Linked DNA regions of Lytechinus pictus. The protein of the gene in region 1 purifies or fractionates together with the protein of each later gene. This does not show direct contact. Links are inferred from orthologs where the notes say so. Each region holds a gene or a part of one and is shown on either strand. Other genes may lie near its edges.

The links. Proteins that work in one complex are often made in the same cells at the same time.
Region 2: the proteins of nucleolin-like (region 1) and myb-binding protein 1A-like protein purify together in Homo sapiens (affinity purification with mass spectrometry; 3 studies listed by BioGRID and IntAct, with this or other methods). This does not show direct contact. The link is inferred for Lytechinus pictus from reciprocal best matches to the Homo sapiens genes NCL and MYBBP1A.

What each region holds. Positions count from the first base shown.
Region 1 is NC_087258.1:12,360,807-12,369,025, forward strand, and holds the start of nucleolin-like, read left to right. Parts: upstream 1-4,806; 5' UTR 4,807-4,892; coding exon 4,893-4,925; intron 4,926-8,219. UniProt on the Homo sapiens protein: Nucleolin is the major nucleolar protein of growing eukaryotic cells. It is found associated with intranucleolar chromatin and pre-ribosomal particles. It induces chromatin decondensation by binding to histone H1.
Region 2 is NC_087246.1:16,074,713-16,083,018, reverse strand, and holds the start of myb-binding protein 1A-like protein, read right to left. Parts: upstream 3,042-8,306; coding exon 3,027-3,041; intron 1,253-3,026; coding exon 1,148-1,252; intron 1-1,147. UniProt on the Homo sapiens protein: May activate or repress transcription via interactions with sequence specific DNA-binding proteins. Repression may be mediated at least in part by histone deacetylase activity (HDAC activity).

The DNA.
Region 1 (8,219 bases):
AGAAGTAGGGTTCACACTTGGACACAGATGTGTTCTCACGAAAGACCAGAGGCTTGAATGTTGTGTACACTCCAACTGAAGTGGAGTGAAATGTATCGATGGGTGAATGACGATCATTGTTGAAATTATGTGTTAAGGTAGATCAAATGATTGCCTAGCCGCGTCTGAAAGTATCGATGAATTGTGTCCGCTTATTACAGAGCATGATGTATATAACTATGTGTGTATTGATGGAATATGTTTGTATAATATAGCTATCTGATTTCAACTATCTTTATGATAAGTTTGGGAAGTGGGATTGTTCATTCAAAAGATTATCATTATACATAATCTTGTTTGCTGTGTGATAACACTGTACAGTTGCTCACAGAACTAACAATTATCAATATTCAAATGTAAAAAGTAACATTGTTTAGTACTAAATATTGGCAGAGAATTCATTTTTCTTGAGGATATGACCCTCCCACTGTGCCAAAAGTAATTTAAAAATGCAGTAGAGGTGTAAATAGAGACCATATAATACTGTACTAAGGGGCATGACATTGTCACTGACACATAATAGGTTGTTTATGTAAATTTCTAACGACCTTTTGTTTCATGTCACACTACTTATGGACACAGTTTGGACAGTCATACACTTGAGGTAGACCCAATTATTAGCCAAAATTCTGGAGATTAATAAATATATGAATTTCTGACATTCAGAAATCATTCAGATCATCTTTTTAGAACACTAGCTTCTGGGCACCAATAATATTTCTGTACAACATGGTGTATGATATTGCTTTGACCATCCATGTCTCATACTTGAAATTTCACATTTGAGATAGAAGTGTTGCAATTTGCAGTGTAAAATGACTGGTTTTGCACTTATGATTGTTTACTCTACAGATGAGCATTATTTTCATTATGGGTTTTCAGTAATATTAGGATTGCACTAGAGTTTTCCCTTCGTGCATGTTGTATGTGTTGTTTTTGTCAAAGTGATTATTTACAATAATGTGATTTTGTCTTGTATTTAATTGGTTTAGTATTTTCCATATTGTCTGCTGAAATGGCAGAATCGTTACAATCCTCAAGCAGACCTACCATTTTCTCAACTATGTTGGTTTACAGCTTGTCGGTCATGTATGATCCAAACAATTATTTTATTATCAGAACTAATATACGTCATATCATGTAAGTACCAGAGGACTGGGTACCAATACTCATCATTAAGATATTAAAAATCTCTCCCAAACTGAAGAGAGAACATGAAATTGCCCAACTAACACCTACCCACTGCTTTGAGGTACCATTTAGAGTCTTAGTTTTCCAATAATTTCATTAATGCGATTGTCATCAATTCAACCAGTTTTCAATGGAAGTTTATTAACGTCTTTTCATGGGTAGGAATACTAACATAATCAATGTGGAGTCTTGAATACATTATGAATACAAAGTATATACATTACTCTTTTAGTTAAAGTCATTGTTAGGTCGGGATTCTTGTAGATCTACTGGTGATTTCCTATCAACTTGAGATTTACCCAGAAATCTCACTGTGCTGCAGCTCGATTTGTTTTTAATGTACATGTACATTCCTGCATTTTGTGAATAAATATTCTGTCCACCATCAAACGTAATGTGCCATGTCATATATTTCTACCAATCATAGTCTTTACAAACTTCCCTGGTTGCAGTGCTGATACAAAGGAGATAGAGTCAAAGCTGTCTGTTACAGCCACCCAACAGAAAAAAAAAAAGGTCTCTGTGGACAGGTGGCATTTTTTAGATGGTTCCGTGACATTTGCTCCGGTGACAACTGCTCCGATTGAAAATCTGCACATTGAGCGAAACATAAAACCTAACCCCCAAAACTAAAAAAAAAAAACCTAATCCTAATATTTACATCATTCTGAACCAAAAACTCTATTACAATCCTAAGTCTAACCCTATGCCTTCTGATATATTAAGACCGGAGCAATTGTTGCAGGAGCAAATGTTGTGTCACCTTATAGACAGGTTCTATTAAACATGTATCACTTTCAAATGGGAGACAATTTTGTTGGCCACTAAAGTAAGGTTTTCACTATAGATAGGTTTGACTGTATTTACATTTGATTGTGGGGGAGTTTCACAAAGCTCTTTGCAAGTGATGTTCACTGTTGAATCCTTGCATCTGATCGGCTGAAAAGCCTGACAAGATTCTTCATGAAGCTCTCCCCTGAAGTCAAAGAAAAGGAGGAACAGCTTAGGCTCTGGGGGATGTGAAGTTCGGTGTTGACCTTTGGGTGCTGGGCTGATTTTTTTTAAATCATCAGTACAGCACCAAATTAAAAATGAAGTTGGTCCTTGGATGAATCTTACTAGATGTTGAGCTATCAGTATCAATTGGGATGAGATTTGCAAACTCACATTGGTTCTTGGATCTAAGGAAGGCAATCTTGATTGTGCTTCCAACCCGAACATAAAGGACTTGCAACTGTTGTAACTTTGCCATTATGGCAACTACCATGGTAACATTGATTCTGATTGGCTGCTGAGCCCTGTTACCATGGTAGTTGCGATTATGGCACAACAGTTGCAAGTCCTTTATGAAACAGGGCCCATTTCATGAAAATTGTTATGATGACAAGTTTGCAAGAACAGCTTAAAGCTCAAGTCCACCCCAGAAAAATGTTGATTTGAATTAATAGAGAAAACTCATACAAGCATAACGCTAAAAATTTCATCCAAGTGGGATGTAAGATAGGAAAGTTATGACAGTTACATGCACACCTTGGTTCTATGCGAAAGAGAGAATCGATGTCTTTGTCCCTCACTATTTCTTTTGTTTTTTATTAATTTATACAATACTTTGATTTTTACAGATTTGGCTTGACTGAACAACAAAATGGTTAAATAATTGTATTCCACATGTTCAGGGAGGAATAGAACTTTGTTCCACATGAAAATGAGAAAATTGTAATATTTTATATTCCACATAATAAAATACAAAAGAAATAGTGAGTGGGTGGTGTCATCAATTCTCTTTTTTGCATACCGACCAGGATGTGCATATTTAAGCGAAATTTTAAAATAGCATAACTTTCTCATTTTACACCTGATTTTGAGGAAATTTTCAGTGTTGTGCTTATTGCATTTTTCCCTTTTTATTCAAATCATTTTTTTTGGGGGGGTGGACTTGTCCTTTAAAGCTTCTGAAATCATTCAATATAATTGGCTAATAGCAAATTTCTTACAGAAATTGTGGACTTAACATGCCATTATGAAACGGGGCCCTACACCAATACCAAACTTGATATCCCCTGTTTTTTTAAACCGAGTTTTCAGCGACATGAATGAAATTGTCAGCTCTGATTACTTCAGGCATATTTTTGGTGTTAATTGGGTGAAATTGGGTCGAGTTGTCCAGCCGATCTGGCTGTTCGGCTTGTCGAGCTGTCTGGACCCCGTGTAAAAAGTTGTGAAATATAGTTATGCAGTGCCAAACTGCTCTCCATTTGGGGTGTCGGCTGTGCTGCGATATCATTTAAAATTAAGGTACCCCAGGTTCTAAAACTGTACTGCAAATGTATTTAAAAAGGAATGTATTTTGGAAGAAATCAACCAAGTTCAAGTAGGCCTATCCGCCTATCCCATCTTCACCCCCCCCCCCATAACAAAATGTTGGCTCAGGGGGGGGGGGGTAGGTGGTTATCGGGCACGTATGAGGTGGCATCATTGCCGGATTGAATTCCTTCAGTGCTGGTGACAGCTTTCAACTTACATAATCTCTATATGCAAAGCAAGCACATAGGTGAGTCTCTCACAGGGGCCGCAGAACCCCGGGGGGGGGCACTCGACCAAAAAAGTGGTAGGGGTGTGCCGCGGGCGAGGCAAAAAACGGGGGCCTTGGAGCGGGCTTATTTTAAAGGAGGGTCCTCGGAACGGGCTTCGGAACTACAAATGTTTGTGAAAACGGGGGTCCTCGGAACGGATCTCCGTATCTCTGTGAGTGCGTATGGAACGGGCAATCGTGCATAACGCAGCTAGCACGGCCTCCGCCGGGTGCGCTCGCGCTTAGGCGATGGTCGAAAAGCGCTCTACGGCCGCTTTTCACCAAAATTGTAGCAAATCAATGCGACCGGAACGGCGTAACGAAAAATATGCGAAGCTCTGGAACGGATTTCTTTCTTCTTTTTTTCTCGATAAGAAGGAAATGCTATGCCTTGGAGCGGCTTTCTTTGTTCTTTTTCTCAATAAGACAAAAATGCTATGCCTTGGAACGGAAATTTGAGTGTAAAAATGGGGGTCCCCTCCGCGGCACATACCCACTATGCATTATATACTGAGTGCCCCCCCGGGCGCAGAACTGTTTTGAAAATGGGGGGGGGGGCGGCTGCATGTCCATATAAAAATCAGGGGACCGTTTCATCAACATTTTTGTCTGACAAGTTGTCAGATCTGACATCTTTCCTTGATTCTGATTGGCTGAGAGGCACTGTTACTATAGTAACTGTCGGATCAAATGGGACTTGTCAGATAAAACGTCCGACAAGTCCTTTCATGAAACGCTCCCCGGATGGTCATTTTTACGTCTTGTACATGGTTTTGAAAAAAATTGGAGGCTGAAGCCACCCCACCCCTGGTTCCGCACCCTCTTTGAGAAGAGAGGAGGCAAATTTCACGACAGGTGAGGGGCATATTACTGATTTGCCCCCCCCCCCCCCCTTCCGAAAACATTGGCATTGTTCCATTACGCTGCCATAGTGCATGCCTGCTGCGCCTATGGTGCATGCGTACGACGACACGTACGTCTCGCGCGCCGTACAACGCCTCGCAAAATTCGGCCATTTAATCATCACGTAAACTCTCGGAGAAGACTGTGCTCTATCTTGATTAAAAAAGAACCACTAAATTTAATCAAAATGGGAACCAACAAAGTTCAAAAGAAGACTAAGGTACGTTTATTAATCATGATTACCATAAGTAAGGTTTGAAAAGTGTGTTTTGAGTGTCATGCTGCTCCCTGTTGACACTTAAAATTCTTCGTTTTCATGGCATGTTGGGATCGTTGAAATTGCAAATGGAGACACAGTGCGTGAACGTGAATGGGCCATGAGGCATGAATGGTGATTGCGTGCAGAAAAAAGCAACACGCGGTCTGTGTGCTGGGCCACGTGGTGAGGCTGGCTGGCGGCGTGCCGTGGTTGGTGAATGGTCTTGAAATCTTACTGAGACCGAGTGTCAGACAACTTAATTATTCTTATGCTGTGCTTGTGTAGTGTCCTCTGACTTAAAATTTATTCATGTTCGTCCATTTTTTTTTTTTAAGGGGGGGGGGTTTGCCCAAATTTGAGTTTTATTAATCTATGACGAGTATGACTTGGCTAGATTTGGACTTTTGGTGCAAGATCGCCACATGCTCCAACTAGTCTGCACAGTGCCCCTTGTCTGAACATTATTTAGACTCAACATGGTGCTAAATATTGAATTGAAAGCATTAAATTCATGGAATATCCCAAATAAAATGCAGCCTTGCTTGACAAAATCCCTGAAACTTGTGCAAAGTGAATTGGTACGCAGACATGGGGCACCATTTTTTTGTTTAATCTAAAAATGACTGACCTCAGTTTTTTCCAAGGAAATCAAATTTCTCTCTAATTTGTGTCTCACCTTCAATCCTGCGTCGTCAACATAGAAATCTTATACTATTACTAGGTTAAGTTTTTGAATTATCAATGTCATAACTTAGAAAAATATGGATAAAACTTGGACATAAATGAAACTTAACATCCTGCCTGGGTTTCAAAATCTTCTTTACCTAGAGTTAGATTTTTAAAATGTCATACATGTAACTAAAAAAGTTTGGTCAAGTGTGTGACCAAAATTATGACAAATCTTGACTTTAAAATAGATTGAAATTCACAGAGCAAAATGCTGAAAATTTCATCAAAATCGAGAACACATAACGGAGTCGGTGAATTTTTAAGTTAAGCAATATTTTGTGAAAATACTGTAGTCGCACGTCGTCATGAATATTCATTTTGTGGGCTGATGTCACATCCCCACTTTTTCTCATGTTATTACATAAAATCATAATTGTTTCATTTTTTCATACATGTGTGTATAACGTGTCTCCTTTAATAAGTTGCAGCAATGAATACCGGTATCTAATGCACTATATCAGTGGTCAATCCAATTTTTTGTAGTTCTTGATAGAAAAAAATTGAATAAACCTAATAAAATACAAAAGAACAAGTGACATCAATGCATAGAATTGTTTCACTGGAATAATCTTTAAAATGCCATAACTTTGTTATTGTCCGATTTTGATCAAATTTTTAGTGTTTTTTTTTTTTTACTTTAATGTAAAAAAAAATCATGTAGGCCTAACAATTATAGGTTTCCGAGTTTATGAAACCCTTGCCTCTGGAAATAGATTATTGGGGCATACGTGTAATTTTTTAAGGGGAATCCAACCAAATAAGGAAAAGAAAAATCAGACGAGTTGATAGGTGAAAGTTTGAACAATATTGGACAAACAACAAGAAAGTTGTGAATTTTTTAAAAGTTGTAAATATTGGTAATCACTATACCCATGGAGACTTTAAATTGGCCGCATATGGGATGTCATAGTGATGTAAGGCAAGGACTATTCAATGTACTCCAATACACATTATGGCTAAAATGTCATTTTTCCCAAAAGTTTTATTTCAAATTATAATTTTCTGTCATGAGGTCTTAAAACAATATACTACCTGGGTTGTATTTAGATTACTGCCCCAGGGGAATGGGTACTTAGGAGAAAACCACAAATCCCTGATAATAAAGTACATGGCCTATGGGAAAGTTGTCCTTGCCCCTTGTCATAATTTACTTACTCAGCTGCCAATTTGAAATCTACATAATATTAGTGATCTCAATTTTAAAGCAGCTATAATTTCTTTCAAACTTTCACCATTCTGTATAATTTATTTTTCTTCCCAACACAACATTTTATGGCCAAGGCTGGATTCCCCTTTAAGATGGGGGAAAATATGTGTACTTGTTTCCGGTACCCTGAGGTCAGGCATTGTTTTAGGGTCCATTTCACAAATGGGTAGGAGTGGTCAGTGGATCCACAGTCTGAGCATCCAACAATCATGCTGCATAATTACCCCTAAAATCATCCTAACTTGAAATTTATCCTTCTGCAGACTATTAGCTGTACACCGACGTGGCCTGGATCTGGAGGAATGCTGCTCTTCATTAATCTTCGTCCCAGTTTTTGCATCTTGCGTGGTGCAAATTGTCTAGATATGTTGACTTGTTAAATTTAATGAAGGCTTAGCGAAGTCTTCTACATGAATGCACGTTATGATTGTGGTTAGATTGGGTCTTGCGTGATCCAATTGTGTTTCGATACAATGTGTTGGAGAGGGGAGGTCTAGCGTGGCCTGCTATATGAAATTAACATGTGGCTGGTTTGTGGGTCTTGCGTGGCCCAAAAGTTGGTTGCCAGAGTGTAAGTAATTGGGTACCTCCAATGGTAGCCGGAAAATGGTATTGAAGTGACCCAGTGGTCTTGCGTGGCCATGGTGTGAAGGGTCTTGCGTGGCCCTTGATCTAGGTATCATGCAGGTAATACGAGACAACGGGTCTTGCGTGGCCTGTGCATTTGTAGTACGGGTCTTGCGTGGCCCTAAGTTACATGTAAATAACTTCTTACGAACAGTGGGAGGTAGTACCAAATCTGCATGATTGGCGGAGAGTCTGTGGATAAACTGGTTGCGACAATGGTACCAAGGCCCGGCTTCAGGCTTTCTTAATAGATGACTGACTCGGCTCGCCCTTCCTACCAATTTCCAGACAGACCAGTTCCACTCTCGCCCTCTATCATGTTTAAGTGGTAAGGTACTTGTAGTTGTAGTTGAGATGCATAACCGATTTGAAGTTTTGGTAAATGATCATCCCAAAAATGCATAACTTTTCCAATTCTTTGCTAATGCCACATTATATGAAACCCCTAAAACTTTTCTGATGGAATGGCAAAAAAAAAATTAGTTGGATGGAATTTGTGTTTTGCATGAAAATTTTGAATCATACATGTAGGATCTTTGTCTAGTTTTATTTTTTTTAATAAAATCAGTAAACACAAAATAAGTGCACAAAGATCCTTTTAAAGAGGGAGAGAAAACATAGTAAAAACTCTGAAAAATTCTAGTTTTCAAAATTTTTGGAGGGTAAAACTCTGTGTCATTACAGAGGGAGGG
Region 2 (8,306 bases), on another chromosome or scaffold:
CACATCATGGATGATATGAAAATGAGAGTTGACAATGTCATGCAATCACCAGTTTTTAATTCATGAAATAAGAAACATTGTGAGTTTTTGACATATGACAATAAACAAAAATTGAATTCCAAGTGGGTTTAAACTTTCTTATATTTCATCAAATTTTCATGGAATTATCATTGTAAGGCTTGTTTCATCTTTTTAATCTCTTTTATTCATATCAATGTATTGTAGAGGTGGGCTTGTTTTTAAAAAAGGATGAACAAGAAATACAGAAATGATAAAATTACAGATTCTAAAGCACTGGGCTTGCAGGGCAATTTTGGATGTAATACCCATTTACAGGTATCGCCCATCACCAAAATGAAATGTATTTATGTGATCAATATGCAATGCTCTGCATATTTCGCCCATTGTTTGGTATGGTGATGTGAATATCTCACTCTCCATGACCTGAAAATGCTTGAAGCCAGCAACAGAATGAAAGTTTGGTGCAATACAGCACAATTGGTTGAGGCTCATAGATCTCTGCAGTTGTATTTTGTGTATATACAGTGGTTGTAAAGGGGTACTACAGACCGACATTGATATCTGAATAAATGGAATAAAATTCAGCGCGAGCTTAACCTTCTTCTTCTTCTGGAAACAGTACAGTCCACCGTCTGGTGTATTGTCGTACTGGTGAAGTGCAGCGTGCAAGTGTATGTACATTATCCGATAAAAAATTGCTTACAGCGTAAATATTTCATTTATATCTGATAACATATAAGTTACCGTGTATTGAATTTTAAAGGTACAGTTTAATTTGTTTTCCCGGGGAATCTGACACCATCTGGATATATCCAGAATAGAACAAGATTTATGACCATCAGACGTTATGCAATGGCACTAGACATGCCTGATGGTCATTACCTCAACTTTCTCTGGTCAGACAGGATAGCGGAAGGATTTCTCACTGGTTCACCAAGTTTGCTTCCCAAAAGAGGATCCCGAAAGATTTCTCACTGGTACACCAAGTTTGCTTCCCAAAAAAGAGGATCCCGAAAGATATCTGAAATTTTGCTGGGACTACAACTCAAGTCATCAATCCCACCACCTCCCCTCCAATTTTTTTTTTTAATTAAAAATAATTGCAGCATTTGCCTTTGAAACTTACTTCAGTAAGGGCTATTGCATAACCCTGTCTAGCACCTTTCCTTGATGAAGCTAGACCTCGCACAAGTCTTCTCAGACTATATGATACCTCTGAACAGTACTCATCCTGGATAAAAGAAAAACAAAAACAGTTGATCTTTATAATATTGCATTGTGGTACAGAATACGTAGAGGATGTTAATGATTTTTCAAAACCGATTTCAAAATGTACCTGATAAATCGATCAGTTTGGCCATCTCAAGAATGAAGGAAAAGTTCTTGCAAAGGAATTTTGCTTATCGGTGTCAAACTGACAACAGAGGCCAGAAGAAAATTAATAGGAGAGAATCTCTGTGATGATCACAACTAGGCCCGAGTCATTGATTATTTTGTAAACCGGTGTTCGAAAGCTTCAATTCGATCAAAAATCGATGCATTGAATTTTGAAGGCGGGAAAATCAAATATTTTCATACATGTGGCCAGTGCAAGCCCCCCAGGAATAAAATCAATCCAATATCCAACAATTAGAGTTATCTAAAGGTAAAGTACTTGATCAAAGAAGGGAAAATGGCCATAATAATTGTGCAAAATGGTTGCAGTCAACTTATTTGAGCAAATGGGGGACCGAATCTTGTGCAACATTGTCAGCCTACAAAGAATGTGTTAAAGCCCTCTTTCGTGCATTCAAAAATAAAATAAAAATAAATCCCGCAAAACAGATGGGCACAAAAGCTTCCTCTCATCTCCTTACGAGTTTCCTAGAAAATCAGCTGCGACTAGAAAACGTAAACATGTTGACCATGATATGGATGTTGAAGCTGGTCCAACAGTGGCATCAGTTCTACATACATCGATGGAAGATAAGGATAATGAAATAGGTCAATTGCATACATCTTTTCAAGAGAAGACAGGTGAGCTTGATGCTGCAAGGATTAAACTTGAACAACTCTCCTCCCAGTAAAGTGAAAATCAAGACATCAGAACATGATGCAGATGTACAAGTCTTCTTGTCTGTCATCTTTCCAGCAATGTCTGGTCTTCTAAAAAAACAATACGGTGAGCATCTTCCTGGTGGGGTGCACTTCAGCCCCTCTCCAGACATGTATGATGTAACCAAAAGTGTTGCAAAGCATAACAAACTTGCCGAACGTGTCCTAGCATATGCCGACCATCTTCCGAGATCAAGGCCAAATTCGAATCACCAGAGTCAGGATGATTATGTTCTCATTGAACAAAACTGGTCAGTGGATCAACATGAAGGAGGAAAGAGACCGTCAGAGACTAATCAAGGAAGCTCGAAAAGATGCCAGGAAAATGAAGAAGGTATATGAGAACGGAGAGAAGCAATTGTCCAAAAACGAAATGATCTGCTCAAGGAGAAATTGAGAAAAGAAGCGAGGAAGGAAAAGCAAATAAGAGAAAAAGAGTTGATGACTCAGGATATAATCTTCTATGACCCGTGGCAGAGCAGAGATCAAGTTGAGCAATCCATGCTTTATATCATTTGATTTCCGGGTTTCGGAGCGTCGCGTGAATATGCATGAAATTGCCAAGTCTCGATAATTTTCGATCGATACTGGAGTAGCGATGCCACACAATCCCCTCATTTGCCAGACCCTATTCCAACAGTACACAAAACAGGGGTGGATGAAATGATGTCGAAATCCCTTTTTTCACCATTACATTGTTATATCTCAATAATATGATTGAAAATGTTTACCATTCAATGTTTGTTCCTTTTTTGACGAATAAATGTGATTAATTAGAGGAAATCCAGTTTTCTCACTTCATTTTTTTCCACCGTAGTTCATTTCACGAAGCATTTCTTGTCACTGGCTATCTACTTCCGGGTTATGAGGGTGACCTTTTTCAGCTTGATTTCAATGTTTTTCTTACCCACAATGCACTGCAACATGGCTTCTCTGGAAGGTAAGAACTTTGGCAACTTTTTCATAAGAAATTTCATATTTTTAAATACTTTTGGGGGGCTCTGGAACGGCAGATTTTGATAAACTCGAATTATAGGTGCGATTCAGAGCTGTTTAGCGCGAATAGTAGGGGTATCTTCAATGATGCAGCACTTTTTATCTTATTTGTTGAATCGCGGCGAATGACACCAAACTTGTAGTAGCCATTCAGAGCCACGAATTTTAGCGAAAGCGGTAAATTCAAGGGAAAGTCCCTTCTCAGATTCCGTAAATATCGCCCCCAGACGCGTCCGAGAACCCGGAAGTGTGTTAACGTGTAGTCCCACGTACTGAAAAATGTTGATTATGATGAAATATTGTGAAGAGTGCGATTTAATGTTTGTGTTTTGGTGAGAGTGGCCAATACTATTTATTAAATTGATAAAAAGTGAGATTATATTACTTTACAAATCTATGGCTGGGATGTGTGTGTGGGTTTGTGTTCATGATTTGCAGGGATGAATTAACAGTTAGTTATGATGACAAATGCTGCCCGTATTATCGTATGGCCATATGCATAAGTGGGTGTGACCAAGCCAGGCTGTCATGTGATGTCTTCACCCCCACTTTTTAATTTGGAGCCTGTATCCCTTGTTAATAAGAGTAAGACCCTACAAATAAAAAGCTTGATTCTAGTTTAGGTTTTTTTATTAAATGATAAATGCACAGATTTATTTATGTTATGACCCTTTTCTCTGCTTCATGTTTTTGTCAAGGCTAGACTATTTTTTTTTTCAAACCATGAATACTAAAGCCCTCCCCCTTATCTCTTCCTACACATGCTCTTATTCAATATTTGGGAACCTTTTACTCATGGTGCAAATAATTTTATTTCAAGGTATATTTTGCTTTTCTCCTTTACCTACTTTCCACCACAGCTGCATCATTTTTGCATTTTATTTTGCATACCCCGTGTCCCAAAAATAAATTTGCCAATTTGAAAACCGCATTATTTGCATGTTTTCAAGGGTGATCCACAGTATATGTTTGTATTTTGTATAAAGAATGAAAGTAAAAAATAAAAATAAAAAATGGCTATTAAAAATTATCTTTGCAAATTTTAATGATTATTTCTATATTAATTACTATTCTAGATTATCTTTTTGAAGTATGGCTTCAACACTGGCTCATTATAGAAGTTCAATGATGATACATTTAACAAAAAACAAAAAATCAGTGTGAAATACAAAATAAATTCTATTCCAGGGGCTGCGGAAACAGGGGGTTTGGGGCAGCCTTGGGGCGTTCAGCCCCGTCCTTCTTTTTCCCAAAATCGTGTACAAAAACAAAAAAATTCCCATCTGATTATGATTTTATGCATATTCACCCCGCACCCCCACTTTCAAAACCTTTCTGCGGCCCCGTCTTTATGATGCTAATCCATTTCTTCCCTACATCCATTAAAAGGTACAGAAAGCGCATCTCGCGCCAACGTTTCTCACGCTGATGTTCTAGATTTCGTGAAGCAGCAGAAGAATGTGACTGCAGTAGTTCAACACCTGAAGGGTATTTTTCAGGATAGGTTGCATAATGTTCCGGATAAGTCAATTGGTTCTGCCATTACAAGAGTGAAGGAAAAACTTCAACGTATGAAGAAGGATAAAGTAGCAGCTGCTCAAGAACGGAGAGACCTAATTCTAGCTCAGGAATTTCGCTTTCCAGTGGCGACGGAGAGTAAGAGGCACCCTAGAGGAGAGAATATATGCGATGATCACACACATTGCAAGTTTGAAGCAGGCACAGCCAAGATCTCCGGTGAACTGAAGCAACAGAGCACTCAACTCCAAAAGACAGAAAGTAAGTTGGAAGTAGAAAAAGCTTGCACGTCCAACCTTCGTGCCTCACTGAAGAGGACAAGGGAGCGAGAGAATTATTATCGAGGGAAATGCACGAAAATGAAACAGGATCAGAAAGATGAAGACAGTGAAAGAATAACAGAACTTGAGACCGAGATGGCGGAAATCAAAAAGGAAGAAGTCACTCTCAGAAGTGAAAATAAGGATTTAAAAGAGAGGATAGATTATCTCACCAACGAAACAATTCCAACGTTTGATGATGACAAGCGGTGTTTTAACACAGAACTAACCACCTGCGTCTATGATTTGGACAACCAAGTAGGTGTAACCAGAGTATGATTGAGAATCTAACAGGGAAGAAATGTGAGCGACTCCCTTCCAAGACGACTGTTGAGAATATGAACATTCAGCGTCTCTGTGTGGCTCAAAACCAGCTTGCGAATTTTCCTCAAAAGAAGACACCACCTTGTATACGGACGAGACCTCCAAATATGGCGAGAAGATATTGGGCTACCATGGATCCGACAGTGACAAGAGATATTACGTTTTGGGTCTGAGGGATATTGCTACCAAATCGGCTTCGGATACGCTTGATACGTTCAAGGAGCTATTACGAGACATTGACAAAGCAGCTGAAGGACGCACAGCGGGGCAAAAAATTCTGAAGAACATCAGGAACACCATGTCCGACAGGGCAGCCACGGAACTAAAGTGGCATGAGCTTCTGAGACTGCATCGGACAGAGGTGCTGCCCAATCTGATTGAAAACTGGGACAACCTCACTGCTGACGAGAGAGCACCACTGGAACAACTAACATCCTTCTGTGGGCTACACAGTCTGGTACAGTATGCTGAAGTGAGTGAGAAAGGTCTTTCTTCAGTGGAAAAAGAGCTGTTTGAGGGACAACAGCTAGGTGCTGCGTCCAAAGGATTTTCCTTCATGACAGTAACAGCGTCATCCGATTGATCAAGACATCCTCAAAGGCATTTGCTCATGGAGGCAACAAGCAATCCGGGATGCATGGTCCTTTCAAGGTATATTGTAAGGATTTCTTAAAGGCTCATCATATGAAGTCGCTTCCCTTGGTTCCCTTGAGAGGGAACAGGTTCAACATCCTGTTCTTCAATGCTGCGTACATCTTCTTCCTTTCGTCACAAATGAAAAGCTTCTTGGAAAGCTCCGTTGATGTGCCCAACAAGTTGCTCAAGAGTGTGAAGGCCGACCTAGAAGAGCCATACGTCTTGGCAGGGTGCAGGGCGCTTGGACTAATCAGCAAGCTGGTCACCACACCCCTTTGGAGGAGCCTAGAAGTCCAAGCACATATTAGATATCTATAGATATATATAGGAAGGTTCTAGACACCCTCAAGCAAGGGAGCGAAAGGCCAGAGGAATTCATGAGGGGACCTGAGTGATGTACATATCAGGGTTGAGGAAGACCCTATCTTTAAGTGCCTAGTAAAACCTAGTGAAAGTGATGGTCTCACACAAACAATTCTTCAGAATGCCCTTCCATCTTTGGCAAAGGTAATGAGCACTCATAGTGAATATCTGACAGAATTTGATGACTCCACAAGAGCAACGTCTACTAGCACAGACAAGCATAATAAGCATGCTTAGCGAGTCTTTGCATACCTTGATCACTTGATGAAGGTGAGACCAAATGCCACCCTGCTTGCAAATGAAGCAACCATTGTTTTCACTCAATGAAACATCCGAGTGGTTGCAACAGATGTCCAAGGAAGAGGCTGAAAAGGTGGTAGACGATGCAAGGAAGAAAGCAAGAGTGGTGCATCAAAATTTCAAGGAGAGTTCGTCAAAGATCATTGAGCAGAAGAGGAAAGGCTTGGAAAAGCAAAAGAAAAAGCAATTGAAAGAAGAAAACTTCAAGAGCTGGAGAAGTACACCACTGAGATCCAGTATTATGGTCTGTGGCAAAGCGAGCACGAAGTGGAGATGTTAGCGTCGCTTCACTCAAATTCTTCTAAGATCAATGCACTAAAGGCTCAGCTGAGATTTCGACAGTTTGTGCTAAGACAGACACCTCCCTCGCCAGACGTGTATCACTTCAGTTTGGAGAGGCTGCTCCTTCTCCTTTGAAGAACTGGCAAAGAATGTGAAGGAGCTGATAAAGGCGGCATTCTCCCTCCTTCAGCCAGCCAGGATGGTGACAAGCCTCTTCTTGTTGGAAAAAGGGTGAGAATTACCTCTGTCAGAAAAAGACTGTATACTAGAAATTTGAGAAGATATGCATTATTAAATCCAGAGAATGCAGCATCACATACTCTACGATTTCACAAATTAAAATATAAAATGAACAGATCTTGAATATGAACTGTAAAAAAAGTTTGATTTGTAAGTCCAATTATGCTGCATAATACATGTATGTATTATGCTTTAATACAAAAACACCTCATTTGTTATTCTTGCTGTACGATAATGTCAGCCCATTATGAATCCTGAATATTAAAACTGATTAACATAAGCTTATTTCATTGTATTAGTATGGGTAATCCAGATGAGTGTTAACCTGCTCTATTTATCAAGGCTTTTCAGGTATTATACTTTATTTCAGGTATGTAAATTCATCTACTTTTTTATGTTTCATATGATTTCATTTACTGAATATTTACATCAAATATCTATTCTATTTTGTACATTTTCAGTATGATTTGAGTATTTTGATATCAGTTATTTTGCTGTCAATATACATGTTTATATTGCAATAACATACTTTGGTACCATTTATTGTCTATTTGTTTCCTTATTTCAAATTATTATTTCACAATTTGCATTATGCAATTGTTATATTTTATATTATTGAATATTATTTCATTTTCTTTAGGTAAGTTGTGCATTTGCACTCTTACTATTCTATTATTTTGCCTTGAAAATCAATTTCTCATAAATGTAAAAGGAAAGAAAATGTATATAGGAAATGTACTCATCACATTTATTCCACCCTTATCCCCCCAGGTACAACATAAATTCAAAGATGCTGATGGAGATGAGAAAGAATTCATTGGTAGAGTATCAGCCAGGTCCCTGGCTACCCATCCTGGTATAACGCAACGTACGACGGTGACACATCAGTATACTCCTATCAGCTATTGGATGACTACGAGAAAGGAGACTTGAAGATATTATGCTAAACAAAGTGGATCAGAAGTAAACATTTCCATAATGTATCCCCTTGAAAACATGTACCTTACTGAATACAAAATATAGTGTAACTACAAACTACAAAGAGTACTAATTCATATCTGGTTGATATCTCTTTTACTTGCAGTATTGGCGTGTGGTGTCTCCCCTTATCTACTATTTCCTGCGTCAATTTCTTGTCAAACATCAATCCTTCAAGAGTACTTCCTCAGTCTTGGATACCAACTTAGTGTGAATTCTTTATCTGCTTTCTTG